2 linked regions of the Notamacropus eugenii genome follow. The protein of the gene in region 1 purifies or fractionates together with the protein of each later gene. This does not show direct contact. Links are inferred from orthologs where the notes say so. Each region holds a gene or a part of one and is shown on either strand. Other genes may lie near its edges.

The links. The genes of interacting proteins can lie anywhere in the genome.
Region 2: the proteins of KPNA3 (region 1) and KIF22 purify together in Homo sapiens (affinity purification with mass spectrometry; 3 studies listed by BioGRID and IntAct, counting the BioPlex papers as one, with this or other methods). This does not show direct contact. The link is inferred for Notamacropus eugenii from reciprocal best matches to the Homo sapiens genes KPNA3 and KIF22.

What each region holds. Positions count from the first base shown.
Region 1 is NC_092876.1:106,567,253-106,574,655, reverse strand, and holds the start of KPNA3 (importin subunit alpha-4), read right to left. Parts: upstream 3,020-7,403; 5' UTR 2,841-3,019; coding exon 2,772-2,840; intron 1-2,771. UniProt on the Homo sapiens protein: Functions in nuclear protein import as an adapter protein for nuclear receptor KPNB1. Binds specifically and directly to substrates containing either a simple or bipartite NLS motif.
Region 2 is NC_092872.1:47,025,125-47,032,213, forward strand, and holds the start of KIF22 (kinesin-like protein KIF22), read right to left. Parts: upstream 3,002-7,089; 5' UTR 2,895-3,001; coding exon 2,823-2,894; intron 2,216-2,822; coding exon 2,087-2,215; intron 1,911-2,086; exon of another isoform or gene 1,707-1,910; coding exon of another isoform or gene 1,646-1,706; intron 1,158-1,645; exon of another isoform or gene 1,004-1,157; coding exon of another isoform or gene 978-1,003; intron 272-977; coding exon 166-271; intron 1-165. UniProt on the Homo sapiens protein: Kinesin family member that is involved in spindle formation and the movements of chromosomes during mitosis and meiosis. Binds to microtubules and to DNA. Plays a role in congression of laterally attached chromosomes in NDC80-depleted cells.

The DNA of each region.
Region 1 (7,403 bases):
ACCTATTAGAATCTTTCTTCTATGAAGTCATTCCTGACTGGATAGGTATGAAATGTTTTTCTTCTAAAGCTCACCTTGTACTCAATTCCCTAGCACAACTGTATACTTATGGGAAACTGTATTTTATTTCTGATGGTCCTTTCTATCTTCTTGCTTACAGAATTTTCATTATGTTTGATTTTTCTTTGTATACATCTACCTAACTATTCTCTGTTCTGTATTATAAACTCCTAAAAAGAAGCTATAGCAGTTAAGATCAATTTGCATAGTACCCAGCACCTTGTGCATAAGATTACTTTTTTCCATGTACATCATATATGACTGATAACTATATAATTTGATGTGGTTTAAAGGACAGACCACTAGTAAGTAATCAAAAACCCTAGATTCTAGCCCTAGTTTTGTCATAGACTAATGTGATTTGGAGTCTGGGGGTGGAGAAGGGGTTATCTTACAACCTTTGACTAAAATAAATAAATGAGTGAAAAAAATTACCTAGATACTGGAGTGTCAAGTATTATGATAGGATGTATTATGATAGGATCTTGGGAATACAAATAAAAAAGCCAGATGGTTCTTGCCCTCAAGAAATTTTTATCCTAATGCAGAAATGTAACACATATATGAGAGTTGTAGCCAAGGAAAGGAGTTTTGGTCTGTGAAGTCATAGGGCAGTCAATTCTCAAAATCCATAAGCAATAGTAGGACTGACTGAGAAGAGAATGGTCTCTGGAGATCTGGCCTGGAAGGTACTGTTCCAGCTAGTGGGGGAGAGGAAGAGGGCATTGTAACATGTCAAAAGGCAAGAGGTTTGGCAGTGGATGGCTTTTCGATGCCCAAGCTTGCCAATTTGTAAAATGAAGGATAATTACTGTTCTTCCTAAAATATTGTTTTAGGTCAGAATGTCTACCACTACTCATCCTTTAAGACACCCATGGAAGCATATAATTGCTCATATTTAAAAGACAGAAACTGATGTCAGGAGCAACAAACATTTAATGTATATCTATTATGCAATACGCATATAGTATAAAAGTACTGAATGTCACAGGAATACTAAAACAAACGGGGAGGGAAGGAATCATAAAGACAAAACTATCCAAGCATCCTAAGGACCCAGGGGGAAAGATAAATTTACCATACCTTCTGGGGGAACATGGTTAATTTCGATTTTTTACATTTTCTAACACAGGATAAGGCTGCAGCAGGTGGAAGGACTTGGTTGCCAATGATACTTCCCTGGACCTAAGACACTAGACTCAATCACTGAGGTGACCAGGAGAAAGCAATTTCCAGCTTTCTGAAATTCATTTTTTTACGAGTCTTAGAATCAGGACAGGTGTCTGTGGAGGGAAATGCAATCAAGGCCAGAACATACTCATGCAGAGAAGTCTCGGTTTTCTCTTTCATAAAATGAGATCTCCACAGTCATCAGTTATCTTCAAAATTATATATTCAGAAATGCCTCAAGATTTTGTCAGTGTAACTGTGCTTTTGAGAACTACAATGTTTACTCATTATAAAACAAGCAATAAGGATTTTTTCCCCTCACCGTAGAGTAATTTGGATTAATTTTCATTTGTAAAATGCACATTATCTTTAGCATATTATTTCAAACCTACAAATCCAAATCATATCCTGCCAAAGCGGATGAGGACGGGACGGGGCTCAAACACCGTATATGTGTGGGTACTGATGAAGTTTGTGCCTTCCACTGACATGCTTTAAACAGCTGCATAGAGACCCCTAGCGCTGCTCAGCATGAGATGAGTTACAAAGTAGTACCTGCTCGTGTCACCTTAATGAAACAATGGCAGCACACGGAGTGACCATAATGTTTACAATCTGGCCGCAGAAATCATCACCCGACACCGGCACGGCGGGAGCCAGAGACGAAGGATGGAGATGCCTCGACAATATTCCAATAAAAATACTTTCCACAAATGATCGATCGTATCACGCATGCATCGTATACTCCAAGGGATGTAAAGGAAGCCAGGAGGAAGGAATGGAAAGGACACTCCCCCCCTTTCTTTCCTCCCGGAGCAAGAACACAATAGATGCCCAATTATTGTCTGCCCGGCATCCTGATCCCGGTGCCAAGCGAGAGGGGAGTGGGAGCTCGGGGACGATCACAGGGTGAGCGGGGCCGAGAAGATGGTCCTGGCGCATCCCTCCCTCCTCCCCTCATCCGCCACCCGGCGCGACTCAGTGACCCGGCCTTGCCCCACGCCGAGCCCGGGCCGAGGGGCCGCGAGGAGCCCGAGCCCCAGGTGGAGCCGCTCCCGCTACGCAGCGAGAAGCCGGTCCCTCCTGTGCCCGGCGGGCGTGCGGGCCCGCCCGGCGAGGCGAGGAGGCGGCGGGCGTGCGGGGCTGCGGCCAGGCGAGGAGACGGCGGCAGCCCCCGCTCGCTCTCGCCGGTCGGCCTCCGGCGGCGCCTCGCAGCCGCACATCCCTCGCTCGCCTCCACCAGGCCGCGCCCGCGTGACGGAGGAGAAAAAACCCACGGCTCTTCCCTCGTCTCCCCGCCGGCCGGTGCCTTCCCTAGGCGGGGAGGGGAGCGGGGCCGCGGCGGCTTCGACCACTCCACCCACCCCCGCCCCGCTTCCCTCGCCGCCGCCCCGCGCTCCTCCCCGCCCCGCCGCCCGGGGAGGAGAGGGAGGCGGCGGCGGCCAACTCCGCACGGCGAACCGGCGAGAACCAGCCTGGGCGTCCGCCGCGGGCGGCCAGGCCCGGACCCCTCGGCCAGCGGCGGCGGCGCGACACTCACTTCCACATCGCGGCCCTTGTTCTTGAAGCTCTTGATGCGGTGATTCTCCAAGCCGGCGTTTTCGGCCATGGCTCTGCGCTGCTCCGGCGGCGGCTACTCGTCCTGCTGCGGCGGCGGCGAGTCTCCGGCGCGGGAGGGGGAGGGCTGGGGTTGGGGGAAGGGTGAGAGAGGGAGGGAAAGCCGGAGAGGGGGAAAGGAGGAGGGGGACGTTCCGTGACGCCTCTGTACGCTAGGGGAGGCGTGGAGCCGGTGGCGAGGTGGGGGTGGGGCGGGGGCGGGGGCGGGAGAGAGGGGGAGGATGGAATCTAGGAGGGGCACGCGCAGGGAAAGGGCTCCGGCACACGTGACACCCGGATGAAGACGCTAAAGCCGGCGGCTTGGGCTGCGGAGTGCGCGGGTTCCTAGGGCGACACACCACAGCAAACCTCCCACTTCCCCTCGCCGCCTCGGGGCTGCAGCTTATTTGCATAAAATGGAGCTGGGCCCTACGGCTTTTCCTTCTGGCACGAGGGAGGGAAGGCGGGGGACTACAGTTCCCGGCATGCCCGGCTCTAAGCGAGGCTTATAGTCCACCTCGATGGAGACAAAGTGGTGTATGCCGGGAGGATGCGCGCGCTGCCCGCCCTCGGGGCTCCACCCCAGGGGCCGCCTCAGGGAGGGGCTTCCTGGGGAGTGCGCCTGGCCATCCCGGGCATCAGTCCAGTAAGCGCCAAGTGATGAGGCACCTAGGACCCTGATCGTGTGCTGTACCCCGCTGCACAACCCTCCTGCCTCCCCACCATCACGTACGTGCCTACTTACGGAGGGAAGTGGAAGGGAGATGGAGGACCATTGGCCCCGGTGACCCCGGCTCTTCCCTACCTTCTAACCAAACATTTGTCTTTTCTCCCAAACAAGCCTTCCGGGCTTCAAACTGAATGGAGAGATGGGGAGAATTAGGCAGTCAGCATTGCCTCTTTGTACCCTGAGCACAGTGTCTGGCATGTGCTTAGTAGGTGTTTATCGAACTGAGTTGGGATCCCCTGGGGCGAGGGAGAGGGTGTCCTGGCCGAAGGAGCAGCCTAAGGAGTTTGGGGGGGGGGTGTTTCCTTAGACTGAGAGGAAAGAGGGTTTTACTGGTTCATGGCCTCAGAGCTGGAAGGGACCCATCGTTTTACAGATAAGGGAGCTAAAGGCTGGTCCAAGAACGCAAAGGGAGTGGGTGGCAGGGATGGAGAGAGGGAAGAAGTGATTGAGAATCAAGGGACTGGAAGAGATACCTGGAGAACCTGGTACTTCTAGGATGGAGGCACATCATAACGGCGAAATGGCTGAGCGTTTTATCACAGGAGTTGGGGTGGCTGAAAGTATTTTAAACATTGTGAGAAGTTAGATGAAGTCGATGGGATTTTGAAGGAAAATGTGACCTACCTGTAGCCAGGTGTTCAGGGACCTCCCCTAACTGACAGTTCAATCTTTGGGGCTTCCCTCAAAAAAAAAAAAAAGTCAATTTCCCTTTCAGCTCATTATTACCACTGCCGGGCTTCCTCTGAGATATCTCTGAATATAGCTTTTATATAATTAATGTCTAGGTTTCCACAAGTGCTAGTAACAGGGTCTCTAATTCCCTTAAAAGTCCTAGAAAGAACATATTCTTGTCAGGATAGAGGCCAACCCACACAGAAAACACAGAAGGTTAAAAAAAAACTCTCAGAAGCCCATAAACAGATAGAGAAAACTCATAAAACACTCATAGAAACCCTTAAGGAATCAATGCAATTCTCTTTATGATAGGTCCACTCTGGTTCACTAATCAATGATCTCTTACTGTGGAAACTGTCAAGAGTACAGCTACTATCATCTCCAACTACATGCCAGAAGCCACAAAGCCTCCAGATCAAAGGTACAATGGTGCCTCCCACAGGTCTATGGTTTCCTTTGGTCTTCAGGCTCTTGCTCTGTTTCTCCTAAAGAGGTACAAAGTCTTCAGCAGCTATCTGCCCCAAAGACTAAGAAGCAGATCCGTCTCATTCTGGAAAAAACAAGACTACTGTTGTCAGTAGATTCCATCCTTTGGTGAGATTAGTAAACCCTTAGCCTCTCTAACCAAAGACTTTCAGATTGGACCAGAACACCTTACTGCCCTTGCAGACCTCAAGAGAGCATTGTTTTCAGCTCCAGTTTTGGGACTGGAGTAAGTAAGCCCTTTTCTCTTTTTGTTCATGAATAGAGAGGTGGCTTCTGAGATCCTTAATCCCTTAGGCCCTCTCCTTGCCCCATGGTATACTATTCTGCACAGCTGGTACTCCAGCCATAGTAGGCTGTGTCTTGCCACTTTCTTTGAAGTAGAAAAGACATGTGATTTGGTATTAGGAGCTCCATTTGCAGTATCCCATGAGTAGAGGCTCTTTTGCTGAGACCTTGAACACAAACCTTTTCAGATCAGAGACTTGCTAGGTATGAAGTGACTTTACTGAACAAAGAAAGTGTGACTTTAAAGCAGTTCTCCGTTCTTAATCTGGCCACTTCATTCCCTGACATTCCAATTTCAGGGGATCCTTTCCATGATTGTTCCTCTGCTGTGGACATGGTTGAAAAGTCCTGCAATGACCTTTTGGATGCTCCTCTAGAGAATCCTGATTTTGTCCTATAATTGGATGATTCATTTTTCATGAGGGATTGCTTTAGGTGTGTAGGTACTGCCATGGTCTCACCATGATGTAGGAGATGAAATAACTGAGGAAACAAAGGTTTGAGCTTCTGATTTTATTTATTATTAACTTTTTAAGTATCAAGCATAATTAGAAGGATTAAATTATTAAGCAATGCATGCCAATTGCATAACAGATTGGGACCAGGCCTCCTCAGTTTGGCACTGACCCCAAAGACAGGGGAGATAGATTTTTATGCAATAAAAATAATTAACAGTATATAAAACAGGTTACAAAATTGGGTAATCTAATTTCTAACTATAGGAAAGATTAGGGGCTTTCTGAGTTGGGATGGAGATGAATGATCAGGTGCAATTCTCTCAAATCATAAAAAGAGGCATCCCACTTCCCCTCCCCTGAGTATCTTATTCAATGAAAGGAACAGTTTTCAGATAAAATATATGGGCTGTTTAAGATGTGCAGTTGTGAGAAACTCCTTACATCATTCTTTGGATCTGACTGGGTTTCTAGTCAGCATAGCCTAGGTCCTTAGTCAAGGGTCTCTAAGCAACTGGTAAGGGTAATCCAACTTTCCAGCCATATAGGGCTAGGTCCAAAGAATACAATAATGTTTTCTCACAATTTCCATAACTGAATGAAGTTTCCTCACAAGGTAGAAATTGGACTAGACCCATAATTGAATAGAAAGGAAACTGAGCTAACTCTAGGACTGAGTTACAAGATGGAGTCAGGTTCACTCAATTCTGTCTTTTGATTCATGGAGGATGGGCCATCCTACTTTTTCCATGGATCATTTACCTATAAACAAAATCTATGAGATTTTTCATATATTCATAATCAGAATTATATAAGTTAGACCACAGCTCAAACTACTTGGATGGCTCACAGTAAACTAATTTGAGAATGGAGATTTACATGTCACCAAGGTAACAAAGAAAACAGCATAAACACTGTGAAATGAAAAGTTGAAGTTGGTTGTTGTCCTTTGTCTTCAAAGAGGACCAGAATGACATAGCCATGATAAAGTGAAATTTCAGTGTGTCTAACTGTGGCTGATCAGACCACTACAAGCTCAGTATGCTCTACCACAGGTTGGGCACAGATAATCTGTGTGAATATTTGGGGTGGATATCCCAAATTTGTGCATCCTACATTTACTTTGTGCTGTCTCAATTCTGCTTTGCTCACAGAGCAGAGCATCCTTTCTGATGTGGGCATGCCATGCTGAGCGGTCCTGCATCAGTGCCTCCCATGTTGCACAGTCAAATCCAAAGTTCTTGAGAGAGACCTTGAGAGTGTCCCTGTATTGCTTCTTCTGACCACCATGTGATTGCCTGCCTCATGAAAGTTCTCCATAAAATACTCTTTTTGGCAAGTGCACATTTTGCATTCAAACAACTTGACCAGTCCGTTGGAGTTGCGTTTTCTGAAGCATAGTTTGAATACTTGGCAGTTCAGCTCAAGCAAGGACTTGTTTCTGGTACCTTATCCTGGCAGGTGATCCTCAGAATCTTCTTAAGACAGTTCAAATGGAAGTGATTCAATTTCCTGGCATAGCAGTGGTAGACTGTCCATGTTTCACAGGCATACAACAATGAGGTCAGCACAATGGCTCTGTAGACCTTCAGTTTGGTAGTCAGTCTAATACCTCTGCTCTCCCAAACTTTTCTTCGGAGCCTCCCAAACACTGAGCTAGCTCTGGCAATGCATGCATCAACCTCATTGTCAATGTGTACATCCCTGGAAAATATACTACCAAGGTAAATGAACTTATCCATAGCATTCAAAACTTCTCCATTTTGTTGTAACTGATGGTTCCACGTATGGATAGTGTGGTGGTGGCTAATGGAGCACCTGTGTTTTCTTGGGTTAGTTATTAGGCCGAAATTAGCACAGGCAGCAGAGAGTTGATCCATACTTTGTTGCATCTCAGCTTGAGAGGTTGCATTGAGTGCACAATTGTCTGCAAACAGAAAATCAT
Region 2 (7,089 bases), on another chromosome or scaffold:
TGAAAGGGGTGGTTTCAGAGAAACCTGGACTCTGATGCTGAGTGAAATCTATACAAGCAAGTAAATTTATATAAGGAAGACAGACACTTTTGAAAGACTTAAGAAATGTGATCACCATAATGACTAATCATCATTCCAGAACTCACTATGAAACATGCTACTTGCCTTTTGATAGAAATGAAGGACTCAGGATGCAGGATGACACATATTTTCTTCTGGACATTGTCAATGTCAGGTTTTTTCTGTTTTGTTTTGAAGAGATACGGGAAACCTTAGAGATTAAGAGCCTGGACTGTAAGCTCAGCCTCCTGACATCTAATTAGTTCAGTGTCCTTTTCATTATACTACAGGTCTCTCTAAAGGTACAAGTCTAGTTTTTAGAGTCAATAAGCATATGTAAGCCTGACATATAGTAAGCACTTAATAAATGCTTGTCTACTGACAAAAGAATAAATAGAACCTGAGAGAATATAATTAAATGCTAACTTGTAGGATATGGCCCATAAATGTTACAGGTGATCAGCAGAAACCATCAGAGAGTGATCAGAAGAAATGGAATGTTTAAGGAAAGCACTGGTCCCTAATGAAAAGGTCTGCATGTCTATGGTAGGGAGTCAAGCTAGGAGACAGTACCTTACCAATCAGGAGTTTGTAAGAGGAACAAAGAATCCCAGCTGTCACTCTATCTGTGCCTGGCAACTCATTTAAATGTCTCTGAGTCTCAAATCCTCATCTCTAAAATGAAGAGGGTTGTTTCACATGCCTTCTAAGGCCCTTTCCAGCTTACTTTATCATCCTGTGATCCTAAGAGTAATCCTCTAAAGTGTCATATCTATGACAACTTAAAACGCTTAAACTTAAAACTTAAAAATGGGCTATTTTGCTTTGTGCATAGAGACAATATAAATTATCTGGTTTTCATTCAATGATTGTTAGTACTCCCTGTATTGAATATCTTCAACTTATCCTGCATATACCTTTGTTTGTACATAGTTGTTTTCATGTGGTCTTGATGGGGAACAAGCTCAAACCAAGACCTTTTCCCTTTGGATGGGAAGAGCTTTGTCACATTTGTCTGAAGGGCCCTGGGCAGTCTGGCCTTGGGGGACAGGGAGCTCCTTGGATTCCCCTTCCATTTCTCTCAGGTCAGATACTCTCTTAGGCAGATAACAGATAATAAATAGATAATCTTCTATTTAGCATTCTTTCCATATTTCTCTCTTTGATCCTATTACCAGCCACTCCAATCAGAATCCTCCCTGGGTTTGATCTTTCAAGACCATCCCTGGGACCCCAGACTACCTGGCCACACCTGGATGCTTCCCTCAGTCTTTTTCTGTATTTAAGTTCCATCTTGCCTCCATGAAGGCGCTCAGACTCTGTCTAGCTGAGATTCTATCTGGCCCGCTAGTGAATACAAACGTTATAAATGCTTATAAAGGCTCCTTAACAGTCAACCCAAAATGGCGAATCTTTAATAAACTTTGTTTTTGGGGGCCTTAAGAAGGCTAGTGTCGAATTCATTCGAGCAGGACCCGGTGTCTGTATTTCGGGGTCCCCCAGCGCCCCTCAGACCTCAACAGTCTCCCCTATTAAAAGTGAGCTCTGTGAGAGCAGGGGCTGTCACCGGCCTCTCCTGACTTACAGGTGTCTGGTTTGTCACTGAGTCCTCTTCCTCCCCATCTGTCCCACGTCAGAGCTTCCATTAGTCTTCAACTCCACTCTCATTTCTAGCTCTGGTCTAGTCCGGGATTCCCAACTCCTGAACCCCGCTTCCCTTTGGGGAGATACGGGGCTCCCTCCTTCAAGTCTCAGACCCGCGAAGGGAGGCATTAACAACCCATTCCACACTTCTCTCTCCCCACCCTGGGGGAAGGAGGGCAGAGAAAGGATCCGGGGGCGCCGGAAGGAACGCGCACGGCGTCTTCTGCGCCTGCGCCTGCACCGCGGGACCGACCCCACCTCCCTTCTCCCCATCCCCCACCCCGCGCGCCCGGGAAACCTCCAAGGGATAACCCAGAGAAGCGAGCCCCTGCTGAGGCAGCGTGGGCCATCCTCGGCCCGCAGCTGCCCCGAGCGCCCCTACCTGCAGCCGCAGCTGCCACCGCCATCTCTCGGGCTTCTGCTTCGCCGGCCGCCCCCAACCCAACTCCTCTTCCACAGAGCTGGTTCCTTTCGGCATTCGAATTCCCCGGCGGCTCCGCCTCCTCCGGTCCTTTCGACCAATGGCGAGCGTCAGGCCGGTTGAGGCGCCGGAAGGGGTGGGGTCGTCCCCAGCCGCCCTCCCCCCCCCGCCCCCGGCGGAGCCCTTTCCGACAGGGCTGCAGTTGTGGCGTCTGCGCAGGTGTGCGCCCCTGCACTCCTCCCGTCCTCGAGTCCGGGCGAGCTCCTAGGGGGCGGGCTTCGAGGCAGCCCCGCCCGTCCGCTCCCGACGGGGGCTCTTCCGGCCCCGGAGCCAGCTTTGGGCCCGGGCCCTCTTCCCTGCTCGCTGTGCTTTCTCCAGGGCCTCTGCCGCCGTCCTCCGCTCCGGCCGCCCCGTAGGCCTCTCAGGCTGGCCGCCCCGCGGACCTCCCAAGTTCCGCAGATCCAGAGCGGGGTCGTTACCTTTTCCTCTCACGCTTCTCTCTCTTCCGGACGCCCCCATCCTCGCCGTCCTCCAGCCCCAAACCTAGGCGTCCTCCTCGCTCTCCCCTCCCCCCTCCCCCCTCTCCCCTCCCCCAGGCAATCCCATGCGGAGTCCTGGGATTTCCACCTCGGTAACGTAACCTCTCCGTGGCCCAGCCCCTCCTCCCCTTCGACCCTGCCCCCACCCTGAAGCCCACCCTCAGCTTCTCCGCGCTTTTAGGGTCCGCTGGCTCAGCTCCGGTCTGGCGGACTGTCCACTCTCCTGTCATTCGGTCCAAGATCCAATGTAAAATGCGCCGGCATCTCAAAGCCTTCCTTCGTTCTTGTTACACCTTACTCTTTCTCCTTTCCCCTCCACCCGCGACGATCCAGTGACGCCGGCCCCTTTTCTGTGGCTCTCCATCTCCTGACTTCATGCGTTTTTATTGGCTGTCTGTCCCCATGCCGGGATCCTCTCCACCGTCTCCACCTCCTTCTGGCTTCCTACAAGAAGCTCTTCCCCCGTCTTCTTCAGTGCTAGCAGTGCCTTCCCTCCGTTAATTACCTCCCGTTTATCCTGTCTGCATCTTGTTTGTACTCAGTTACTTGCACGTGGTCTCCCGGGTTAGCCTGGGAGCTCTTGGACAGTAAGGACTGTGTTTTGGCTTTTCTGTACGTGCCCAACACCTTAGTACAGCACCTGGCACGTAGTAGGTACTTAGTAAATAACGATAAAAATAATTTCTAGGATTTATATGGCATTTTGAGGTTGGCAAAGCCTTGGCAAATATCTCCTTTTATCTTCACAACAATCCTGAGAGGTAAGTGCTATTGTTATCACCCCCATTCTACAGAGAAGGAAACTGAGGCAGGCAGAGGTTAAATGACGTACTAGGAAGGGACCAGGGCTGGATTTGAGCTTAGGTCTCCCTGACTCCAGGCACGGTGCTCTATCCACTGTGCTTTCTATTCCTGTCTAGGCCTGGGTAAAGTGGTTTTAGATTATTGTGCATCAGTGAATAGGTAAGCTACCCAGGACATGCATGCTAGGACACTGGTGAAGAGAGAGCTCTGTTCTAAACCACTCCCTGGGACCGGGCACAACGGAAGTCGTAACTTAAGGAGAGCATGACTGCAGCTCCACATCTTAGAGTAACATCAAGGGAGCTGAGGACATTACTAATTAGTAATGGGTGGGAGCACCTTGCTGGCTCTCATCATTCTTGCTCGTAGGGAAGTGGATTGATGTTTCTAAGTTCAGATTTGTCAAGAGCCACCACTCCACAGGATTTAGTGTTACCAGCAGAGCATTATCTTGGCTAGCAGGAAGTTCCTTCTCCCTACAATGGCACATTCACTGAGTTGATTTGTTGAACCAAAAACGAAACCAAAGGTTTCTGCTCTTCCAAGTCAGTGCCAAGGTCACCAAGCACGCTAGAGACAGAGCCACAATTGGACCTGAATTCTTTTGATTCCCAAGTCAGTGTTTTTTTAACCATTATACCATACTTCATTATTAGAAATTTAATAAACTTAATTCATACAGCAATTTTGAAACTTACAAAATAATTTTCTCCAAACTCTATGAGGTAGGTTGTATAAATATAATTTGCATAATTTTATAGTGGAGGAAAGCGAAACTGAGAGAGCAACTTGCCTCTCGTCAATCATATTGCTAGTGAATGCTTGTTTTCTGACTAAATGGTAGTCAGGATTCATAATATTTGTAGCTAGAAAGGTCCTTAAAGATCATCCAGTTCCGTGATTCTCAAACTTTTTTGTCTCAAGATCCCTTTACATTCTTAATTGTTGAGGACCTAGCAAGGAATTGCAAATTAAGGGGATGCTCATCAATTGGGGACTGGGTGAACAAGCTGTGAATCCTGTTGTGCTACAGGAAATGATGAGCAGGATGCTCCCAGAAAAACCTGGAAAGACGTTCACGAACTGAGGCAAAGTGAAATGAGCAGAGTCAGGATAATATTTTATACAGTAACAGCAACATTGTGTGATGATCAACTATGAATGACTTACTTCTTCTTAGGGATAAAATGATACAATTCTGAAGGACTTAGGATGAAAAATGCTATCCATCTCCAGAGAACAAACTGACAATCTGAATCCATATTGAAGCATACGTTTTCCTTATTTCTTTATTTTTCTTGTATTTTCTCTTTTCTTTCACAACATGACTGACATGGAAATATGTTTTGCATGTTTTGACTGCACATGTACAACATGTATCAAATTGCTTGCCTTCTCAATGTGGGGGCAGGGGAGAGGGAGAGAGAAAGTTTGGAACTCAGAAATTAAGAAAAAAGTGTGTTAAAATTATTTTCACATGTAAATTGGGGAAAAATAAAATATTAAAAAATTATTTAGGACCTCACAGAGCTCTTGTTTATCCTGATGAATATCTGGTCACTGGATTCAGAAGGCTCTGGAGGAGAAGTGAGGCTAGTGACCTGCACAGCCCTCACTCACTCAAAACAAAGTCAACTGCAAGTCATGTCATCATTTCTCTGATGGCATAGTCTTCTTCGGTAAGGAAGGACAAACACAATTCTGTGAGTACATGCAGCTGGCTGAATGGGAACCCAGCTAGCTGGGTAACTCAGCTCCTCTTCTCCTGTCTGCCTCTCCCCCCTCCCCCCTTCCTTCTCCTCTCCAAAGGAAGGTAAATTTGGATGGCCAAAAGATGCCCAGTTGACTTGGGTTTTACTGGCTAGTTTCCTTTCGTTTCGTTTCCTTACCTGTCCTGTCCTGTCCTGTCCTTTCCCTAAACCTCAAACCTACTGCACTCTGAAGGTGGGATGCCAATGGGCCCCTGCCTTAAGGCTCTTCTGGACCCTCCTAGCTTTAGAGTGATTATCAATAGTAACTGTTGCTGTTTCCCTCCCAGGCTGATGTCTTTCTTTTTCTTGACCTCATTAAAGGGGCCTTGGCTACTTCTTAAACTGGCCTATTCAATGAATGGGTGTTGCCTCATCCTAAGTGAGTACCTGCAAAGAGCATCTGGGATCATCTCCAGTTATCCTGATGAATATCTGGTCACTGTATTCAGAGGGCTCTGGAGAGGTGAAGCTGGTGACCTTGTACAGGCCTCCCTCACTCAAAACAAAGTCAAGTGCAAGTCTTGTCATCATTTCTCAGATGGCATGGTCTTCTTCCACAACAAATGATGAACACAATATGGTTATTTCTAACTGATATTTACCATATTAGAAATTAAAATATCTTACCATTGTAATGAACATAATTGTGACTTCAAGGACCCCCTAAAAGAGTTTCAGGGGGCCACCAGAGGTCTCCTGATCACACTTGGAGAACCACTGATTGTCCAACCTCCTTATTTTCCAGATGTAAAAACAGGCTCAGAGAGACTTAGTAAGTTACCCAGGATCCTCCAGGAGGCAAGATGCAGTAGAGTTGGCACTTTAGGCTCAGCAGTTTTTTCCCTACAACCACACTGGAAGTTGGGAACAGGAGCATAACTGGTGAAACGGACCAATTTTAAAATCACTATTTTTACATCTGGCTTTAAGGTTAACAAAGCACTTTCCATCTGATCCTCACAACAACCCATAAGACTCCCTGGGTTGTGTGGTTTGATGTAGACGTAAGGCAACAGAAAGTCAGGGTCTCATTGTGCTAATTATGTAGCAAGAGGATGTAAGAGTGGCATTATCTACAGGTGGCACTCTACTGGAGCCACCAACCCAGCTTTCTCAGTTTCTTGGGCAGGATAGCCAGCCTAAGAACCTGCAATAGCCTGCCTGGCCAGTAGGTGGACTACAGCCTTCAAACACCTGGGCTGCTCAATCCTTTCACCCCCCTCCCCTTCCCAGGAAAGTTCATGCTATAGCAGGGCTCGGATTTTGTTCAGCAGTTTGGATTAACTTCTCATTGGCTGGTCCAATATTAATCTAGGGAATGAAATGGAAAGTTGCTCCAAATGTTGAAAAACCAAAATCTGACACCTATATCTAGCTCCTAATCCCTACCGGGGTTTTTCTTGTTGTTTAGTCATGACCCATTTGGGGTTTTCCTTGGCAAAGATACTGGAGTGGGTTATCATTTATTTCTCATTTTTGGGATGAGGAAACTGAGTTAAGTGATGTGCCCAGGGTCATACAGCTACGAAGTATCTGAGGTCAGATTTGAACTCAGATCTATCTCAACTCAGGACCCAGTGCTCTATCCACTGAGCCATCTAGGTTCCCCCCTCTCAACGTATTGCATACTGCACCCATAGATTTAGAGACAACATGTTGTGATCTTATAGCTTATTATTCATAATAGAGTAAACTGAAAAAGAAGCTAGATAACATACTTCTGAATGGTAGCATCCTTTTCCTGACAGTTCCCAAAATGTCTCCCAGTTGTTCTTCCAGATATTTGAATGTGGCTCAGAGAAATCCTGACCACAGTAGCCTGTGGCCCAAAAGAAAGGAATGAGGGAAAGGAGAGTCTGAGTCCTGTCTC